2 linked regions of the Drosophila melanogaster genome follow. The protein of the gene in region 1 interacts with the protein of each later gene in a pairwise test. Each region holds a gene or a part of one and is shown on either strand. Other genes may lie near its edges.

Region 1 (10,396 bases):
AAGCCAAGGACTCCACGATGACGATGATGGCTCGTTGAGTCGGCGTCAACGTGGCGTATGATTAATAAACAGCTCCCTGGCGGATAAATTCCCCCCCGCTGCCAATTCATGTTGTTGTTGTGTGCTGCACTAATTATAGGCATCAATGAAGGTGAAGGTTGTCAATATCGCCCGGCGCAACAGCCCGTCGCACTGGCGGTAGCAAAAATTTCCATTTGAAATGTTTTGTAGGTTGCGAAAACAATGGCCTGCCTCCGACGAGGTAATCCTACAGCACCACCCAATCCGCGTCCGCTTTTCTCGTTTTTTTTTTTTTTTTGTGCCATGAGTACTGAGTACTGCGGCAACGTAGTTGGCTGCCACTTAATGTGTTTTGCATACTAATTAGGTTGTTTGGCGGCTGCCGTCACATTTCAAGTGTTGAAACAGGTGACAGAAAAAAAGAGAGAAATAGAAAAACGACATTAGGAGCAGCAGGAAAACGAAACTCGTTGCTGCAACAGAACCAACTGCACTTGAGGCCAACACTTTGCGGGTGCAGCCAAGGAAAATGGCAATTGTTTAGATTAGGCTTAAGTAGTTGAGGAATGCGCTACTTGCAACGAAAGTTGAATCAACGGAAATTTCAAGCAACTCCTAAACAAAGTAACCAAATTACAGGGATCTCAATGGTCTCTAAGTAGAAGTTTTAGGTTAAAAAATTATTATTAAGTAATAGTCCTATCACTTTTCTTTATAATAACCGATGATTTCGTTTTCAAATTCAAGCGATTTTTAATTCCCATTTTCACGCGCTTCCGCCAGCTAATCAGTTGGCTTAAAAGGGCGCAATCTTTAATTACATTATAATTCTGGTTAAGTGTGCCATTAGAATTATCAATCGTCAAATCGAAACAATAAATTTTTGACAAATTGAAGTGCTTTGGGTTTTGTTTACCTATTTGATAAGGCATAACAAACAATGCAGATAACGATCAGGTGGCAACAAAAATACGTAGGAAATTAGTTGGTTCAGAAATTTAAATACAAGCCACTTCATTAGATTATAGTTATTATTGGAATACAAAATGTATGTACATAAGTAGCAGATCTGTGGCCTGACATGGCCCAACCCAAGCTCATCTGAAATTTATGCTTTATAATTTCAAAGGCATAGGACTTTCCGTGAAAATGCAGAACTGACTTGTAAGAAGCGCGTGGCTCAAAAACAACTAGAACATAAACAGCCAAGCAAGAAAGATGCAAAGTAAAAAATGTTTTAATTACTCATCTCAAGGCGAATCCGTAGCCCCCTTTGCCCTACGCTCCTGCCGATTGACGCTTCGAAGGGCTGTGGATGAGGTCAAACACCAAAGAAAGTTCATGAAATTAAATGAGTTTCTTAAAATATATCTTATTCTGAGCAATCGCAATTTTTTTTCAATTTCAATATCCGATTTAACAACTTTTAAAAATTCTTTTTCCTAGTGCTCTGAGTTCCAGATTAGCTCCAGTACTGCAGAATCGTCAAAGTTCTTCTCGCAATTGTTGCTGTAACACTCGAATGCCTCCATTCTGATATTTGCTCCCCGTTTGCCGCCGTTGTGTGCTAAATAGTTCCCCCAGGGCCGAATCCACTCGAGTCGTGCTAATGAGAACACCCCAGTGACAAGGAGATGCTCACAAGGACGAGCGAGTTCAGATGCCAAAGGAGGCCTTTAATGCACGTTGCTGCATTATGCAATACTCGAGCAGGACGAAACAATATTTTACTGCAGTGCCGGAGTGGAGCGAAGTGTTCCCTGCCAAGAACGAAATGAGGAGGTGTGCAGATCCTTAGCCAGGACCTGCGGCACTGCAGCGTGCTCCATTTGCACACATTTCGACAAGGCAATTAATTATGCTAAACTCGTTTAGAGAAGGACAACAGGCCCATGCAAAAGAACAAAACAACTTTTGAATTGTAAAATCAATATAAATAATAAAAGTAGTAAATGATTTTATTTCTTGTGAATTGTGTCCACAATTTCAACTTGGAGCGTCTCATTTATTTTAAGCTAAATAAATCAAAACCACAAAGAAATCTAAGAAAAATCATAAGCCCATTAATCTTTTTCGCATCCGTTTACCGCTCGAAAGGCTCCGTAATTCATCCCTGTAATGTTGCGTGGCGTGCGGAACCACCTTTGACCAACGCATTGGATGACTTTTGAGTGGATCTAAGGCGGAGATCTCTGGCCGGAACACTGAGGTCCTGACATTTGCGCTGGCCATGCGCAATTAATTACAAAAGTGTTTGCGGACAACTGGGCTGATGGGGTGTTTATCCTGTGAACCCCAACTGGACATGGCCATGAGGAAAGCCATGCTGGCTTTCTTTTTGCCAGCCAGCTAGCCAGCGTTTATGGGGCTCAAGTGGTCCAGAGACCGAGAGAAGCGGCAGCTCATTGCTTTGAGGTTATTTGCTTTTAATGACTCGCAAACTACACCCGCACACACGGCGTATGCGTCATGTGTGTGGACTGCTTAAGTGTTTTCAGATATCGCGCATCAGTAGCCAACGACAGTCAGCCCTGGGCCCCATGGTTTGTTGACTTTTAGACGCTGTTTGTTTGTCAGCACAATTTTGCTTTCCTGTTTTTTTTTTATTTTTCATGTTTTTTTTTTTTTGCCCATATTTGTCCCATGTACTTTTTGGCTTTTCATCTTGGCATCGACGCAGACAAGCGGCCACATAAATGAGCTTTGAAGTTTGCATACGCGAGTGCAGGCAGTGCAGTCTCACTGGCTGAAGGGATAATGCGACGCAATTATAGACGGAGACTGAGACTGGGTCCATGTCCACCCCAACCCGGTTATATCCTTGAAAATAAATTGTTTTGTTAATTATTTATGGTTGGTTTAATGAGTGTGTGCCGTTCGCTGTGTGTTTACTGTACTCAGTGTTCGCTGGCGGTCTGGGACGTCGACTTCCATGTGTTTGTTATACTTTTGCATTTTGCAATTATTTTAATGAGTTTTGCATTTAAGCGATTTTATGCAATCATCGTCATTCGCAATAGTGTTGACTGCGAAAAGGGATATGTGCATAAATACGAATGTGCTGCATAATTGCCGTTTTTGCTTCATTAAAAAATATGTCTTTATATGGTCGGCAGACTCATTAAAAGTTGAATATATTTTATCTCATTAAGTTCTTTCAGGTCTTTCATTAGTGCGTTTGATTCGGCTTGATCAACGAATAATAATGCCCATATATTTAAATACTTGCCACTAGTATAAACTTAGTAAAAGTCAGATATCCTTTTCCCTTGACATCTATTTACATCTATTTTGAGTACAAATATAGAACAAAAAAATCTGTATTTGAGGAATCCAAAATTGTTAGTGCGAATCGAATTGAGCTAAGATAATGGAAGAACTTGTAGATCTGGATGAACCTTATCTGTATATGATTGGCATACCGACTGAACTTCGCGTGCACTGGGCCTACATAGTTGATTTTCTACGCCCAGAAGAGAATCGTCAACAAATCAACGACCCAAATGTGGAATTAGTGCCCCTCTCACAACGGCAATACCGAGAAGAGACTACGGACTTGGAAGTGGTGCCCTTACCACAAGAGCCGAGCATTGACCTATCTGGTGCTGGCGATGGACACCACGTCATTCCCCGGATCGGTGATAACGAAATGCCGACTGTGATTATCTTTCTGCCCAGAATAATGCCATTACCCTGGTCCAGTTTAAAGCGTCTGAAGCCGGTGATCATTGCGGCCTCAAATATTCTCTTCAGAAAGATACTGTCCCATTTTGGAATCGATTTAAATCAAGTCTTTGCCCTCGGCTTGTCATACAATACCCATTTAACAATATTTCACTGCTTTATGGAATACCTTACATCCTGGATAACTGGGTAACATAATTTTTCAGTACCCAAATTAGCTTATAATGTTTCGAATTATACTGTTGTAAAGTGTGCATTCAAATAAAAATGACATAATTTTTATTTTTAATCAAAAACAAAACTCTTAATTGATTGCGATTACTGATTGGGTGTTTATGATAACAAATTCAAATCATTTGAATGTGGTCCTAATATTCAAAACACTCCTCAAGGTAATCAGGTACTCATGGGTCCCTGAAGGGCTATTAAAAAAGACCGAAAATAGACCTTTAGCCCCCCAAGTATCGTTTGGGGTCTGAATTTCTTGGTCTGTATGAAATAATAATCGGCACTACACCTTGGTACAAATTCATAAACATTGTATAAGAAGTACCATCGAGTAATCGTCAATGGGAACTCATTTTACTAATCGCAAGGCAGCGATTAGAACCAATTAAGATACCAATTAAGATATGCATTGACTGGCGATCGCGAATACACTGAACTTGAACTTCGTAGTTAGAGTATCAGGTTTTACCTAAGCTTTTGGTTATCGTTAAACCGTTTTATTGGCCTTAAGCCTTAGCACAAGCCTCTCGAGGGTCTAAAGTGATTGCTTATCAGGCTAAAACCGTGTGGGGCCCTCCTATAAAAGCAGTTCCAATTTCTAAAGAAAGTCAGTTCTGTTCTCGAATCGAAACTGTATTCGCGGTCAGTTCGAAAACAAATTGTAAAGTCGTCGCCATGAAGTATTTGTGCGGCATTGTGCTTTTTGTGGCCCTTTTGGCCATCAGTGTGAGGCCATCTGAGGAGGCTTGTGGATACGAGGTGAGAAGTGAATGCCAGAATGCGACAGGAATAGAATATATGTGAAATTTGAAAAGGATGTAAATACCGTGAAAGTGATTAAATAAATTTACATTCCTTTATGCTCAAAAAACGGCAACAAAAATGCTTAATGAACATGACATTTAATGTTCAGGTTGCTAATCATCAAACCGATTTTGTTTTCAACCATTAAATACTATGGACTAACAAACAACTAAACCATTCAACGTTTATAATGCTTTTCAGGCATGCCCCAAAACCAAGACGAACATGATCAACATTCACATGGTGCCCCATTCTCACGACGATGTCGGATGGCTGAAGACCGTCGATCAGTACTTCTATGGTCACAGGAGTAACATTCAGCACGCTGGTGTCCAGTACATCATCGATACCGTAATCGCTGAGCTGATCAAGGATCCCGCCCGTCGCTTCATTCAGGTGGAGACCTCCTTCTTCGCAAAATGGTGGGCGGAGCAGTCGGAGACTGCGAAGCAGGTCGTGAGGAAACTGGTCAACGAGGGTCGTTTGGAATTCACCGGTGGAGCATGGAGCATGAACGATGAGGCCGCTGTAAACTACCAGAGTGTCATCGATCAGTTCACCTTGGGATTGAAGTAAGTGTTGCAAAAGAGGGGTTATAATGTCAGGAATCTAATGGTTATATGTTTATACCAGATTCCTGGACGACACCTTCGGTTCCTGCGCCCGTCCCCGCATTGGTTGGCAGATCGATCCCTTCGGTCACTCCCGTGAGCAGGCCTCGATCTTCGCTCAGATGGGATATGATGGAGAGTTCTTCGCCCGTATGGATCACCGCGACAAGAACGACCGTATCGACAACTTGGGCATGGAAATGATCTGGGATGCCAGTGATTCGTTGAGCAACGATGAAATCTTCACTGGCCTCTTGTACCGTCATTACTCGGCTCCTCCCGGCTACTGCTTCGATGTCCACTGCGGTGACGATCCGATTATTGACACCAAGAGCTACGACAACAACGTCAAGTCCCGCGTGGATGACTTCCTTAGCTACGTAACTTCGGTGGCCCAGCACTACCGGTCTAACCACATCATGATCCCCATGGGTGATGACTTCCAGTACGAAGATGCCCAGGTCAACTTCAAGAACATGGACAAGCTCATCAAGTAAGTGCTGAGGATCTGGATGATTGCTTACCCATACTCATCCTTTTGACTCCACCCCTAGGTACGTTAATGAGCGTCAGGCCGAGGGCTCCACCTTCAACCTTTTCTACTCCACCCCCGCTTGCTACCTCAACTCGCTCCATGAAGGTCTCCAAACCTGGCCCAACAAGACCCAGGACTTCTTCCCCTATGGCAGTGACGACAACAGCTACTGGACCGGATACTTCACCTCGCGTCCCACCCAGAAGCGCTTCGAACGCGATGGCAACCACATCCTGCAGGTGGCCAAGCAGCTCAGTGTCTTCGCCGAGCTGAACACCAAGCAACAGAAGGAGGACCTGGAGTACCTTCGCGAGATCATGGGTGTGATGCAGCACCACGATGCCATCACTGGAACCGAGAAGCAGCATGTATCCGATGACTATGATCGCATTTTGTATGATGCCATCCTCGGAGGAGTTAACACTGCTCGCGATGGTCTGCGCAAGCTGACCAATCTTCCCAACGGAGAGTTCGAGAGTTGCCTGCAGTTGAACATCAGCGAGTGCGCCTTCACCAAGGACGATGCCGACAACGTGGTGGTGACCCTGTACAACCCATTGGCCCACACTTCTACCCAGTATGTGCGCGTGCCTGTAAAGAACGAGAACTACGAGGTGACCGATGAGAAGGGCCGTGTGGTGGCCTCCGAAGTGGTTCCAGTTGCCTGGCAGGTCCTGGCCCTGGAGTTCCGCAACAATGATACCCAGCATGAGCTGGTCTTTAAGGCTTCCGTTGATAAGATCGCTAACTACTACATTAAGAAGGTCGCCAGCCAGGAGACAAAGAACGTCGCTGCACACACTAAATCGAAGAGGTCCATCAAGGCTGAAGAAGCTAACTTGGAGGTGCCTAAGCGTTTCAAGAAGGTTCACTCACTGAAGAATGCCACTGAGACCTTTGACGACGATGAAGGAGAGACTGTGGTGCAGACTTCGGTATGTTAATGATTTTCAGTTAATTTTGTATCTAAAGTAACATTTTGATTCCTACCTTTATTAGCAAGTCAAACTGGTGATCGACAACAAAACTGGTCTTCTGAAGACTGTCGAAATGAACGGAGTATCCGAGAACATCGACCAGAGCTACGGTGTCTACAGGACCTATGACTCCGGTGCATACGTCTTCCGTCAATATCACCAGGCTGACTTCATCGTCCAGTACGAAGGTGTTGAGTTCACCGTTTATGATGGAGCATTGGTCAAGGAAGTCCACCAGCAGTTCAGCGAGTACATTTCCCAGGTTATCCGCATCTACGAGGGCAAGAACCTTGTGGAGATCGAGTGGCAGGTTGGACCCATTGAGCGGGAAGAAGAGTTTGGCAGGGAAGTGGTTATCATCTTCAATAGTACCATTGCCTCCGACGGCGTTTCCTACACCGACTCCAATGGCCGTGAGATGATCAAGCGTGTGAAGGACCAGCGTGAGACCTTCACTCCCGGTCTGGACAGGCAGCCAACTGCAGCCAACTACTACCCGGTCACATCCCGCATTGCTCTGCAGGACAGCAAGAAGCGTATTGCCGTCCTGAACGATCGTGCTCAGGGAGGAGCCAGTATGCTTAACGGTCAATTGGAGCTCATGCTGCACCGTCGTCTCGTCCGTGATGATGGCTATGGAGTGGGAGAGGCCTTGAACGAGGAGAAGTACGGCCAGCCCATGATTGCCCGTGGAAAGGTGTACCTGATTCTCAGCCCCAGCGATGAGTCCACCGCCGCGGAACGCGAAGCCGAGAAGGAGATCCACCTGCCCTTCTGGAAGTTCTTCAGCAAGAACACTGGAAGCACCACGGCTGCTGCCAAGTCCGTTCCCAGCTTTAACGACTTCCCCAAGTCGGTGCATCTGCTCACTCTGGAGCCCTTCAACGACGATGAGGTTCTGCTACGTGTGGAGAACTTCTTGGATCACACCGAGGGCCAAGTGGTTAGCTTCAACATTCGCCCGATCTTTGACTACTTGAACGGTGTCGAAATTCGCGAGACTACCTTGGACGGCAACTTGCCATTGAGTGACATGAAGCGCTTCAAGTTCCACCACGACAGCTCGGGACAGAAGCCAGATGCTGTTGAGTACTTCACCTCCGCCCACAAGCCACTGGCTGCTGAGCAGTCCCAGGAGGCCTCCGAGTTCAGCGTCACCTTGCACCCAATGCAGATCCGTACATTCATTATCAAGACGGAGTAAACCAACGTTCTCAATGCAGTATTTCATGAAATGTAAATAATTTAATAAATAAATTCAATGTCGAAAATCTAAAGCCTTCGTTGGTTAATTATTTACAGAATTAAGGGTCTAATTATGGACAATATATTTTATTGATATTAGGAAACTGATTAGCTAAACTTTATCATGGCTAAAGAAAGGAAATGTTTGATGTTCGGGCAATCGCTGCTAATATAGACTCCTCAATTTGACGTTTATTAAAACGTAAATATATAAAACTTCAGTTTTAATGCCAAATAAAACTCACTATGCAGCATATATTCCTTTGGTCTATTATTCGACTGAAATTTATTTTTATTAATTTTTTTGCATAAATAAAATCAGATTAGAATTAAGTGTTGATTTCGTATTATTCGAAATATAAATTCCGTTTCAAGTAAACTAAGGTTAACTCAAAAAATATTTTTATCGTTAAACTATTTGTAAACTTGATTCCCCACAGATTATTTAGTATCCGTATGCTATAAAGTGCGGATCGTGTCTTAGGCATTTTTCGTTTCATTACGTCATAAATATAAAAAGATTAGAATGGAAAGCCCTGACAGGACTACATTACGTCTTAAATATATGAAAATTTAAATGGAACGCCTAGATAACGCTAGAATTTATTTTTTTTTTCTCTCTTTTTATTTGCAATCTGTTCTAAAAAAGTATGACAATAAGTATATTTTATAATTAATCTTAAATTAACAGTAGGGATTAATGGTTAACTATTTCTATCCATTAATCCCTACTACCTCATACTCTATGCATAACATGTTTTAATACTTAATATCTGTCCGGGAGATCTAGCACGTTAAATCTTTTAAGTCTCCTTCTTTATTTAGAATTTAAATATTTTGGATCTCTACTTTTGTAGCTTAGAACTAACATTAGTAGAAACTTGAAAACAAGAATCCACGATAGTCGCATAAGTGCTTTGCTGCTAAGGAGAATTCAGGTCACCATGAGTGGTTTGTTGGCTTTGGATTATTCTATCGTTAGCCTTGATACTTCACTGTATCTCACTACCACTTTGCGTGGGTCTTTCCAATTTCCAAATAAAAGTAACTAATGTGTTGCTATAGAGCATGATACCTTCTGATAATTTCTAGTACAAACCCATAAATGGTCTTTTGGATGCAATCGGCAACTACAAATTGATATTACTAATCAGCAGATTAGCACTGCAACTCTGTCAAAACAGAAGCAATCTTTTATGGAGGCCTATTAAGATACAAGTTCAATAATGACCAGTAGTAGCAATAAGGTTCATTTGTTTATAAGTTAAACCATTGATCGAAGCGCAGGCGTCATTAAACCATTATGATTAAAATACACTTAACTGAATTTTAAGTGCGCTTGAGCTTACGTAATCCGATAATGCATTCAAGTACCGATTGCTTATCACCAATCTCTGATATAAATGGGCCAGTTTTCAAAACATAAGAATTCAGTTGTGGTTCTAACCTGGAACCATCAGTTACATCGATTTGTAAGATAGAGGAATACCACAATGAAGTTCCTGGGCATCGTCCTTTGCGTTGCCTTTTTGGCCCTTCAAGCTAAGTCAGCCCAAGCTGTTTGTGGCTATGAGGTGAGGAAAAGGATCCTTTTACACGAATTGTTTAAACTAATAAAATACTTATTGTTTTTTAGTCTTGCCATGAAACCAAGTCAAACATGATCAACATACACTTGGTGCCCCACTCCCACGACGATGTGGGCTGGCTGAAGACCGTTGATCAGTACTACTATGGCCACAGGAATAACATTCAGCACGCTGGAGTGCAGTACATCATCGACACCGTGATCTCCGAGCTGATCAAGAACCCCGATCGTCGGTTCATCCAGGTGGAGACATCCTTCTTCTCCAAATGGTGGAACGAGCAGTCGGAGACCATGAGGGCAGTCGTGAAGATGCTGGTGAATGAGGGTCGCCTTCAGTTCATCAATGGAGCCTGGAGTATGAACGATGAAGCTGCCGTAAACTACCAGAGTGTGATCGACCAGTTCACAGTCGGATTGAAGTAAGTTATGCCGGTATAACCTCTTTGGAAAAAAAATTGTAAAACCATTTTCATAAAAGGTTCCTCGATGACACTTTTGGAGTTTGTGGTCGTCCTCGTGTTGGATGGCAAATCGATCCCTTTGGTCACTCCCGTGAGCAAGCCTCTATCTACGCTCAGATGGGATTCGATGGCGAGTTCTTTTCCCGCATGGATCACAACGACAAAGGCAGGCGGATGAACGATCTGGCTCTAGAGATGATTTGGGATGCCAGTGAGTCGTTGAGCCAAGTCAAGCTCTTCAC
Region 2 (12,522 bases), 4.4 Mb from region 1:
TACGTATAATGAACCTTAGGCCCAACAAAAAAAAACCACTTGTCTTGACGCTCAGCTGGAATCCTGGTCATTTAGTTAATGGTGGAAGCTAGGTCGAAGCAGTACTGCTAATGACCCCCAGACGATAAAGTAATAAAGTGGTTCGAGCAAGCCATTTACATAGTTTACATAAACCGCTGTCGAAGCGCGTCAAAGATGTCTGGTCGAGTGCTTTTAATGACCAGTAGCTGACGGACTGACCACCGGTGACTATAGAGGCGGTTTGTGTGCTCCACTTTTGCCCAGCATTGGTCAAGAGATTGATCTTTGGACTCGATCATCAGAGTGGGTATGCCAAAAATGCCGAGAGAGAGATGGATGAAGCAACCGGGACAGGGGATATCAATAAAACCGCATTTGCTGCTCGTTGTTTTGCAATTCTAATTGCAATTATGAACGCTGCTGCGTCAGCTTTTCAGTGGCCACATATACGCAAACATCGCCATTCAGCTTGTTTACATTCTCCGCCGATTCTAGGCATTATGGTTATAGGCACACGTGCCCTGGCCTGGTTTTTGTTTGGCTTGGGAAAGCGATAATAGCATCCGGGGGACGTGAGGCGTTGCACAAATTGCACTTAACACCAATTATGAAGGTATTTATTTTTTCCACCATAGGTACATTGTAATTGTAAGTATTTATAAAATAATTCATATTGAAACCTGCTCTTTTGGAAAATGATTCACCCAGCGGGCTTTGTGCAAACATTTTTTAACATAACATGCAAAAGGTAACCACTTAACTAAATGGCGGGTGATAAGAAATAATACCGTCACCATCGACGGTTTCTTCGGTAATCGATTGTGAGGAGTTCATTTGAAATAGATAGACGGAAAGTATTTTAAGTACTGCTTCCATTGAAGATTAGAGAATTCCCAAGAAAATAGTTGTACTCAAAACAAACTGGATCTTTAACTGAAATGAAATTTAAATGAAATGCAATGCCCCTGCATGCACGCCTAAAAATAAAAGATGGATTATGCCAGCTAGTCCCTTGACTTGCCCAGATAGTAACAAATGCGGAGAGATGACCACCACCATAAAAAGCAGCTAGTAAAAACGTGGGCCATTCATTAATCGAAGCGAAACCTTTGCTCCCGGAGATTTTTTTGCAGCGCACCAAGAAATCTGTGCCGAACATACTATACCCATATTAGCATTGTTGTACTCTATATGTAGAACAGACCCAGGGGCCGCTTAATCAATTGAGTGAGCTAAAAGCAGCGACAACACCAGCGACAGCAACGCCGACGCCCGTTTGCTGATTAAAAAATATCACGCGATTCTCCGTAGAATTTGTGCTCTGTCGTCCGGACCCCAGAGCCTAGTAAAGTGGATTGACTTGGTGGGGTAAAGTATGCCATATACATAGATCTTATACTACAGCACACATGTACATATATGCCCCGCCTTAAGGCCCCGGACTCTCTTATTACGAGAGCTTCCCATTCATTTGTTATTTCCACTGGCAGAGGTTCATTGACTTGGGTGGAAAGGAGGAGACAAGCCAAGCACTTGTGCCTGCGTCAATGATCAATCTCTGCTGATTAGAATGATTTTTGGGTCCAAGTGCCCCACATACATACGTGCTTTCCCCATCTGATGGGTTATCAGATTCCATCAGATTCCACGCAAATATTATGTTTATACTTGTTGTTCGTGCCCATGAGCAGCTGATGTGGAATTTCAGCGATTGGAGCACGACTACGTAGGTCGTTCTTATCTGTCGCAGCTAGAGGACTTCCACACTGGTGACAGGGAGCTGTGACCCGTTGACAATGGACATAAGGGAGCATAGACTGCCAAAATTACCCGGAAATGCCAATGAGCATGATGTATATGTTTTAGGTTTAAATCCATAAATTAGGTGACATTTTCTAATCTTGCTTCAGGGCATTCGCAATTGGATTCTAAAAGTTTTGCCATATGTATGTTTTTGCTTAGGCAGAAGTATACTATAAGATTGAACCACCTCTTAATAATAAATGGATATGGTTTAAAAAACCCTTTTAAAATAAAGACGATCCCTTGCGATTATTTAGTCAGTACAGGAGAGGCCCAGCGAAATGCCAATTAAATTGGGCACACAAAAGACCGCCAGACGATGACGACAGCATTGTGGGTCAATGGCGAGGCAATGGCAATGATGGTGGTGCAAAAGGGGTGTGGGGTCCATCGCCGAGGCGGAGGGCATGCGCATGCCAGAATCACGTGATGTTTGCGGACGGACGACCGGCGGGCAGCCACAGTCAACAAGGGCCACGTAAACGCAGCCCTCATCCGAAAATCTGAAGCCTCAAAAACAGAAGAGCGGAAGGAAAGGCAGGCTGTTCAGATACAGTGGGTTAGCCAGAGCACATGTATATGGCACATATATGTATGTACATTTGCTTGTTGGGCGTGTGCCATTGTTTATACGGTGAGTAGAAATACAAGGAAATAAGAGAAAGAGCGAGGGCGCATATAAACAATGGGTATATTTTTATTTTTACCGACTGGCGGTAGCCACAATTGAGGAAATTTCTATCGTCCCCCAATGAAGCAAACTTGTTATGGTAGGCCATCTATCCATCCGTCCATATCGCAGTCTAACGCGTCATTACCGATAAAGATAAACCGGTTTCTGATGATGCATTGCACGGAATCAAATAATTATATATATATATATATATGGGGGAACGCAATGCCTATAGAACCATTTGATGGTGCCCAAAACAAGGCAAAGTGCGTCAATAGTATCTATATGCGGATCTAAAATACATAGATGCATTAGATGAACCGAACACCCGGTTTATCACATATAGCAATTAATTATTGTGCAAACTAATTTGGGATATATGTATTGTTGTTAGCTTAAGCGCCATAAAGAGTGCGAGTATCGCCGGAAAAGGCAAATTAAACATTTTCTCTGAGTAATCTGTTTTAGAATAGCCACTGTAAGCGTACAATTATAAATAGATTGCATAGCGTATAAATATAAATATAATGCCAAATGTCCCGGTCAAGCGTGGAGAATATGGACATTTCGGATCCGAGAGACCTTGAACCTGAATTATGTAGACATTTCAGCCGGACGACGGCAATGGGTGGATATTTGGAACGGGCAGCGAGACGGCACCGTTTCACAAAGATTTGCTAATCAATTGAGGAACCCTGGACGCTTCTTAGCACGCCTAAAAATGGGGTTTAGTTTATCGTCGACTGATTACGGTTATTGGTATTGGAAACCAAATTGGAATTGAAATAGTAGGGTTCGGTTGGCCGTGGTGTGGCATGGAATCGATGGCACCGACGCGGAATGGTTATGCTTTGACTCACTTTACCGTTAGCGGTGAGTAACGACGTGACGCAATGGGCTGCCCTAAGAACCGTTAGACATTGTGGACCGAATTCCTGGAGGCCCCTAAATGTAATGTAGATGACTCACCATCCATCGCACCAGACGCGCACATCCTTCCGCTGCTTGTCCGAATACCCATTGCAGGCGCTGGTATCGCCATTTGCCTCCATCGTTGACTTATTGAATTTTCACAATTTAATTTAATTTTAATTTAGAATCCGGCTAACGGGCGAACATTAGATTCCGGAGAGTATGTTTCTGTTTTCAGTGCTCGTTTTGAAGGCGGAAACTCGACGACAGCGACGTTCACGCTTCGAGAGCTGTAAGTTATTTGTTCTGAGCTACGACGACGCCCGCTATATATCAATTCCCATTTCACGACCGAGCTACTCAGTTCAGTTTTCGTTATCGGTTTCGGACTCGGATTCACGTTCAGACTCGGAGCGGAATTGGTCTCAGATTCTCAGACTTGCGTTATCAGCGCGCGGGCGCATGGGAACTTCTTTGGGGCGTAAGTGCGGTGTGTTTAGCTTGGGTTTTTTTTTAGATTCTTTCATTTCTTTTCTCACAATTTCGAGTACCGTGAGAGCAGAGTGGCCGCATCGGTGTTTGTCCAAATATACCATATGCCTGGTGCGATGAATACCAGCTAACGCGGATTTTGTAAACATCAACAGCTGATCGAGATATATTGGGAATAACTTTAAATTGGCAAATTTTATGTTACTAAGCTAGAACTTTTATATTAAGCAAGTACAAATCTGTATTATTATACGTTAAAAGGGTATTAACTCTATTAAATCCTTATGAGTCGATCACCCCAATGAAATGTATAATATTTTAGGATATAACAAAGTGTTTTGTTTATAAATAAATGTAAATATTGTCACAACAATTATTAAAAAAAAAGTGTCATAGAATTAAACAACGAACACTACTAATAACATTCACAATTAAAATTTTTTTTTTCATTTTAAAGGTATATTTTATTGATTGATCCCACTGTAAAAATAATACCGATGGTATTTTAAGAGGCATATTGGCCATGGCGATGTGAGATAATACTACGGTGTTTCCCACGGTCACACAGGATAAAGCAACTTAAAATATTAAGCCTATCAAATAAGAAATATACAACGCACAGCACGCAGATATACGAAAAATAACAATCGAAGGAAACCGACCAAGCCATGATAATGTAATCATGATCGTCCACAGTCAGTTCGGGCATTGTTTTGTAGACAGCATCAAGTATATTTTTTAAATTTCACGTGCTAAATTTACAAGAAATCCTACCACAATTACTAAACGAGTCGACGAGGGCTAGATAATCCCAATCCCATTCCCCGTACCAACGCGATGTCCAGAAGAGAAGCCAGCCTGATGGCCTACGTAGCGGCGGAGGAACACCTACTGAACCGGTACTCGCCGCTGGAAGGCGACGAGATAGATACGGCCAGCGAAGCTCCAGGCGACGCATCGGACGTGGCTGAGGATCGGGAGTATCCCACGGATCTTGTTGCATCTGTCACCAGATCCTCGAGGACGGGAGCAGATCTGGACCCCGCCGTGGACAGCAACCTGCACGTGATCTCCGACGACTCGGACACCCACAGCTTTATCTCGAGTGGCAGCGGCTTCAAGGGCTGGCCGGAGGAGCAGCCGTCTTCCAGTTTCGTCCCTCAGAATGAACCCTTAATATTCGGACTTCGCCGGCAAATGATGATGACCGAAGAGACACACCAAGCCCCAGTATGGGCCACCTGCACACCGGCAAAACGTTCGTACAGCAGCCACGAGGTCATCGAGATCAACGGTTTGTTAATCTGTTCCATTAACTATACAAGGAAATCTCTTCCATTTAATTGATTATGAACATTTATCCCAATTGAAAATATGAAATATCTAATATGGTAAACTCACTCAATCGCATACTTTTCTTGTTTTTTAGACTCACCCGAATCTGTCCAGGATCCGGGCATTGCACTAAGCCCCGGCATGCTGCTGACAAATGGCAATGTTGACCAGTTCGAAATGCTGTCCCACGAGAATGATGAGGCTGAACATGAACTTCAGGTGGCCGAAGAAGGGGAGCAGTGTGTGATCTATGAGGCTGTGGATGGAGAGAACATGGTCGTTTTAGGAGAAGAACACTGCTGTGAGATCATAGTAGCTACCCAGGGAGTGGCATGCGAGCAGGAGTTCGCCAGGGCCATCATGATGGCCGGAAACGGTACCGGTGCATTGCTGGGCTTGCTGTCCGAGGAGAGTGATGCGAATGAGTGTCTCAATGGGACTGCCTACATCGAGGAGGTCGTGGAGGATATGGGTGTGGCCGAGGCACGATTGGCGGCTGGAAACAATGTGTACCTTAGTGATGCAGCGCTAGAACAGCCTTTAGTGCACCAGGATCTGGTCGACGACGAGGCTCCGGAGGAAAACGAAAACGCCACATTCTTAGACGATACACCGATGGAGGAGGAACGCCCAGATATTTGTCAGGTGTATGATCACGAACTGGAGGACCACGACGATGAAGAATGCGAGGACGCAGTCATCCAGGAAGAACCAGCCCAGCCTATCGACATTGTAGCATTCGAGGGACAGGAGCCGCTGCCAAATAATCCGCAAAGAAAGTTGCTTCGCGAACACAGCAGTCCCACGGAATTTCCCGTCAGCTCATCCTCCATGCCCAACGCCAGTGACCACTACGACTATGAGGATGAGTTAACGGGCGGCCGCTCTCCATCCAAAGTGGCTCCACTGAAGCGAAAGTATCCGCCGCTGATGAAGAATACGCTCCATGGAGAGGCTATGGATCGAAGACTGGCAAGCATTTGTCAGGCTCAGCCGCAGATGAGTCCCGCCGAGAAAGTCTCCAACTGGGAAACGGCACCCAGGGAAGAGTGGGCCGATGTCGAGGATGTGGAAGGCTTTGAAGCTGCCTTCAAGCAATATGAGGCTGTTACCGCATCACTCAAACAGCTTAACTTTGCCGAATTCCGTGAAGCACTGGTCCGGAATATGGAGAAGATCAGCCGTGAAATCATGCAAACCTCAGACGAATCCACTCAAGAGCTTGCCAGCTCTCAGTCGGCGGAACGGCCGGTGTATCGTCGCTATTTGCACATTCTGCCCACCGAGGAGACAATTGTGCTAGATGATGATGACGACGATTGCTACGAGGTGGTCGGCATGGAAAAAGCCTCTGTCACCACATTGATACCCGAAGAGGAGCTACAGGATAATCAACAGCCGGAGGAAGAAGAGATAGTGCTGCCAGTTGTTGATGACATAAAGAACACGGATTCACCGAATTTCGAGCAGCGGAACCTTACCAAGGAAACATCTACAGCAGACTTGGAGAGAAGCGCGCTTACTCAAACGGCGGGTTCATCCGCTGCGAATTTAGACGCATCCTTATCCCATGCTCAACCTTGTCCAACTGCTCCGGCAGGACTTACTGATTTTATGCAGGCGAACTTAAGCGACCGTGGGCCATCAGAAGACCAACAACTAACCAAAGCTGTATTAGATGTTATGCGTCAGCAGGTGCAAACAATGCAACAGCAACAGCAGTTTATGGAGCAAAAGATGAACCAACAACCACAGATGTATCACTACGAGGAACTGCCACAGGCTCCCCAACGTAAGACTTTTTATTTGTATTTTATTGCAAATTTAATTGGTTAATTTAAATTACAGAGATGCAAATGGAAGGGAATCAGGGGCCTTACGTTAAGTATCCGAATGAGCAACAGGAATTCTGCAACTATCTGGGTCTCACCGAACTGTCAACAGCAAATGCCGTGGCTACCGCAATGAGGGAACTAGCCAACAGCACTATCCCTCGCCGATCGCTGCGGGTGAGACCACAACAGCAACTGGACAGGATGCGTAGTGATGTGCGTGGCAAGCGGCGCGAAAGGGAGCGAGATAGGCAGCAGGATAAGGACAAGAAGATACCGTTGACCACAAGTAGTGAGCTTAGCACCGATAAAGAAGAACCCTCCCCGCCTCAGACATCAGAATCCGTTTCAAGGATGGCGGGGGATGCGGATGTCCATTTCAACTCTCAAATGCCTGCAGAGCATAAGCGAAAACTGAATCACTTGTACAACTCTTATTTTGCGGAAGAGGAAGAATGCTCTACGAAGAGGTCACCCAAAACCACCGACTTTATAGCCAGTTCCAAGTCCTTAAAGGATGTAGAGAGGCGTCCATCGCTCAAAGGACAGGAGCCGCAACGTCATAGATCCATCATTGATGGCGACGGCTATCAGAAACATCAGATAGACAATGAGTCTGAGAAGGGTCGGGTTCAGTCCGTTGAGGCGGCTTTTACTAAGATCTTCGAGGCTGCCGCACCTGCCCAATCCAAGCTGCTGGAGAGCATGCAGCAACGCTTGCGCCAGGCGCGTGAGACGAAGCCATCAATTTATATTATTAAGGCTACAAGCAATGCCTCGCCCCCGAATCCATCACACAGCAGGCAGGAGTCTCACATCTCACCGGCGCCCTTGAACTTAATCGGCGGCTTTGGTGACGTAAGCGCGCCGCATCCTTCTGTCATTTCCCAGCCAGCGAAGAAAAGTCCTACAATAACCAGTCCAGATAAGGAAACTCCAGCCCCCTTACCAGTTGATACACCCAAAAAATCAAAACATAGGAAAACCCATGGAGCCACCAAACCTGTTGCCGCTACACCACGACGCCGCACTACAATGGGTGCATCCAGTCTCGGGAACGAAGCACGTGCACGCGATTTGGTTACCCGCTCCACCACGCATCTTAATTCGAAGCTACTTCGTAGCCGCAAGGTTAGTCTGCTCAAGAGCTACGCCCTGTCGGACGAAATGGCTCAGGGACGATCGAAACGGATGGCTGGCGGTGCAGCACAAACCACCAAAAAGGCTCCAATGCCCAAGGCAGCACGGACGTCGTTAAAGAAGCCGGCAGATAAAAGTCTTCCTGAGCAACATCGCTTGGAGCAACAGCAATTGGCTCCGCCAAACTCTCCCCGAAAGATGAAAGGTGTCAAGGAGACTGAAACTGACACGACAAGTGCAATGAAATCTAGTCGCCTTACTAAACGGACCAAGCGAGCACGAGCCAAGTCACTGCCTTCGAATATTGAAAGGGTGACTGAGCCTGTGGCAGCCGTTCCTAATGCCAATGTATTGAGGCTCGCTGACCTGGCACCAGAAGTGCCCAACACATTCGCGCCTACACACAGCCATCTGGTCAACTCCACAGCCAAAGAAGCCGCTGACAAGACCTTCGTTCATTCCCCCTCCGTCGCTCAATCGCCTTATGCACAGCCCGTGCTTATTTACCCGCCATCCCCAACAACACCGCCACCGAATACGGAGCCACATCGCCCTCGCCAGCAAGCCGGAAAAGTCAATCCAGCTGACTTAGTCCTGGCCACCCCTCCTGGGGGCCTGCTGCGACTCAGTCAGGGATCCGCGACGCTAGCAAATCCACTTTCTGCCAAGCACGGCCAGGTTCTCTATATGTACTACGAGCTGGAACAGCTCATTGTGCTGCAGGAGAATTGCATTACCTTCTGGAAGTACTCCAAAGTGTTCAACGTGCTGCATCAACCGCGACATAATCCCTCCTTTGATGGCGCCAGAAAATCTCCATCTCCAAAGCTGCCTCAAACACCTTCGCGCGAGCCCAAAGACGTCGAGCAGGAGTTGAAAATGGGCCCGCGATGGGTTTACCTGGGCAGAGTGCGGCGCCTGACTAGCGGTGGGTTATGATCATTTATACACTTTACGAATCTTTCTAGCCTCTTTGATGCATTACAGAGAAAGAGATCTTTACGCCGTTTGGCAGCCGCATTTGCGTGCACAATTCGACGCCGGTGTACCTGGAAATGCGAAGCAGGCCGCTGGACCATCACAAGAGGGAGGTGAAGCTAACCTCGCTACATGTGAATGTGTATTACTTCTGCGAGGAGGAACTACGACCCCGTATGCACTCTGTGCACTTGGATGCTGTCAATTGGTGAGGACTATCACGCAGTATGCATAAATTCAATGACGTAACCTACAACTTTCGTTATTTAGCGAATGGCCGCATGTCATATACACAACTATAGCGGATTCGCGTTACTTCGTTATGGCATGGCAGCAGGAACTGGTGATGGGCAAGTCGCGCTCGGGCATTTGCAAATATTCACTGACGCCCACGCTGGATACGCTGGCCTCCATACGGGAGTTTAAGCAGTTGCGCCACGAGCTGCGTCACATTGAGTGCCTTTCAGAGGATCGCCTTATCGGCTACGGCCAGATGCGCATCACCGTCTGGGATCATCGCAGCGGCGATACTCTGATGAACTACGACTTGGGCCGGCCGCTGGGCCGTTGCCTGGCTGCTACGCACTATCCTAGCCTCGACTTGGACCAAAGCAGCATGCTGGTGCTTTATCAGCTGCTTAAAGAACCAAACAAACCGTCTGAGGTGCATGTGATCGCCTGTGAGCTTTCCCATGCCACGCCCTCGCACCGCCTGCTGCAGGTCCACCGCTTACCATCGCCGCAATTCGACGATGCCACGGAGGGCGTTAACACCGGTGATCATCTGATCATCAAGTCAGCATCGAACGACGAAGCCTGGATAAGTGCCGCCGATCCGAGACAGCTAACCTATTTGGCGCCGCAAATCAATGGAGCTCAGCGTTTTTATGCCCGCCACAAGTCCCAAGTGATCGAGATGTCCCCGCAATCCCTAACTGTAGATAGTATCGCCAATCACATGTTGAAATTGGCTGTCCAGCAGACCCAATCGGCGTAGACCTGTGTCGCGGAACTAGAAATGTGGAGAGTCTCGGCCTTGAACAAAGTTTTTGTTTTTTTTTTTCACACAAACCCATGTTTGAATATCACCCAGAATACCCGATCTATAAATGTGCTTTTGGCTGTCTGCCCAAGTATAGTTCAAATATAGGAAACTATAATAAGTTGCGTGTTAAGCCCTGTAGTCCTAACAATCATTTTAGTCGTAAGTAAGTCGGAGAGTAGTAGCCTTTATTATGCGCTATTTTGAAATAAGTGTTTTTGTTTCTTTCGTTCTTTTTATTTTTTCTAAAAGAAAAACAAAACTAGCTTAAGCTATCGTAGTTTTAGGCATATGAATTCAACTGTTTGATTTGCTACTATCGACTGAAGTAGTAAATTTGTCATATTTTTAAGATTAATGGAAACACCAAAATGGAAAGAAATTAATGTCATTAAAACGGAAATCTATTAAAAATACAACGTTTTTGTTTGCATCAATTGCATCTAGTCGATTCACAGATATGTTGTCATCCACAATAATTTGGTTTATAATACTCGATCACGGATTTCGAGACTGCCTTTGGACTCGCATCCTAACGAAGTTGGTTTTTTACTTCAGTTGAATCTTGATTATATGGATGAGCCGGTCACCGAGATCTTCGTGTATTGGAGTACAAGGGAAGGTTAATCCTATAAGATCTCAGGGGTAAAATCATAGCTGGCTCTTGAGTATTAATGATAAAACGAAAATGCCTTTGGTTTTTAATTATAGTTCGTATATTTTAAACTAATTTTGTATAATATCTAATCAATTTCAACTACTCTGTTGTCGATCAATTCCGACTGTCTACCCTATAAACTAACTTCTTAAAACTAATCATTATTTACGATTTTGTTAGTCTCTAAGTTCTAAGTTTTTATATACAGAAGTTTTACTTACATCAAAAAAGTAAAATCCATCGAAAAAATTGTGAGGTGGACCAAATATACAATTAGAATGAACGCGAATGCGATGCTATTCGGTTATAATATAGCCACTAGGAAGCCAATTGCCTGCCTGAGAACCAACCACGAAATGCAAAGATCCCTAAACTGAGTTCCATAACTCGTGGCATTAAATCGCTCTTACATGTCTAGTAAAGTACAGGAAATTCCAATTTAGTTACGTTCGCTTACTGTACACACGTTACGAATATAGAGAATATACATATCTCTATTTTGGCGAGAACCATTTCAAGGCTGTATCAAGCCCCAAAAGAAGAGTAAACGCTGAGGGTGCTCCGGCAGCCGTAGCAGTCCACTACAATTCTTTTTCCGGTTTCTGTGCTACCGACGCTGTTTGGTTCTGGCGCTGCTCCTTGGCCAGTTGCCACCGCTTAAACTCCACCATCTGCATGACGCGAACACGCAGAGGTTGTTTCCGTCGCTGCATGACCGCCGACAGTTTGCCGAACTCCATGCTGTACATGAATACGACTGGAATGAGCACGTCGTCCTTGCCGTCGCCAGACATTGCGAACATCGGCTGCGTCTCACCGGAAGAGCCCGGAACATTATCACAGACAATCAGCGCCGCCGCCCCCACCTTCTGGGCCAGTCGCGCTTTGCTAACGAACGTGCAATCGCCGCGCTCGGCCACCAGGACCTTTCCTTTCGCCTCCTCGGCGTTCTCTAGGCTCTCATCGCATGCTCGTAGCGGCTTGGCCAGAATCACGTCCCCTTCGACGAACTGATCGCCAGTTAACTCTGGGCTAAAGTGCGACGGCCCGGCCATCAGTGCGATCCAATCCTGTGAGTTCTCGTCAGTGGCGTAGGCAACGGCCTATAAACGAGAAAACCATTTCAAATATCATTATGATGATTTCCATTTAAAATGTATAAAGCATGCAAACCTGCAGTTGCGCTAGCTGATTTATGCTTTGCATCTTGGTCAGCTCAAGCATCTCCTGCATAAATTGCAGTCCCATTTCGCCCTCCTCGTGACTTTTGGCCTGAATAAAGTCGAATTTATATTATTATATTTTTTCTACGATCTGTGTGCTGATGATGATGAGAAGGAAGAGTAGGAAGCGAAAGATCGAGGAGGAACTGGTGGCACAATGGTTACCAACCAGAGTGTCAAACTAAATGCAAACGAAACCAAAAAGCAGAACAGAAAAAAACTTACATTATAGAAACTATGAAACAGTCGCACCTTGCCTTGGCTGCGGTCGCCTACCGAAACCATGGTAATGCCCATGTCGTAAACAGCTCGAAGATGATCTGCATTGCTTGCCTGAAAATCCAGGGCGCTGAGTCGCTTTCCCGCTGTGGTGCGAGGGCACGAGCCCGTAATGAAGTTGCGCAGTGGTTTGC

Evidence for each region.
Region 2: the proteins of LManVI (region 1) and CG16972 interact in a two-hybrid assay, tested with the Drosophila melanogaster proteins (one large-scale study listed by BioGRID).

The regions. Positions count from the first base shown.
Region 1 is NT_033779.5:8,775,399-8,785,794, reverse strand, and holds LManVI (lysosomal alpha-mannosidase VI), read left to right. Parts: upstream 1-4,542; 5' UTR 4,543-4,608; coding exon 4,609-4,692; intron 4,693-4,938; coding exon 4,939-5,309; intron 5,310-5,370; coding exon 5,371-5,841; intron 5,842-5,902; coding exon 5,903-6,818; intron 6,819-6,882; coding exon 6,883-8,064; 3' UTR 8,065-8,134; downstream 8,135-10,396. Other genes in the region: CG42710 (uncharacterized protein), read left to right, coding at 3,392-3,898; LManV (lysosomal alpha-mannosidase V), read left to right, coding at 9,599-9,679, 9,742-10,112, 10,172-10,396.
Region 2 is NT_033779.5:13,195,217-13,207,738, reverse strand, and holds CG16972 (uncharacterized protein), read left to right. Parts: upstream 1-4,443; 5' UTR 4,444-4,738; coding exon 4,739-5,195; intron 5,196-5,330; coding exon 5,331-7,028; intron 7,029-7,084; coding exon 7,085-9,136; intron 9,137-9,195; coding exon 9,196-9,394; intron 9,395-9,456; coding exon 9,457-10,183; 3' UTR 10,184-10,637; downstream 10,638-12,522. Other genes in the region: Pect (phosphoethanolamine cytidylyltransferase), read right to left, coding at 3,467-3,549; Edem2 (ER degradation enhancer, mannosidase alpha-like 2), read right to left, coding at 11,468-11,989, 12,060-12,158, 12,335-12,522.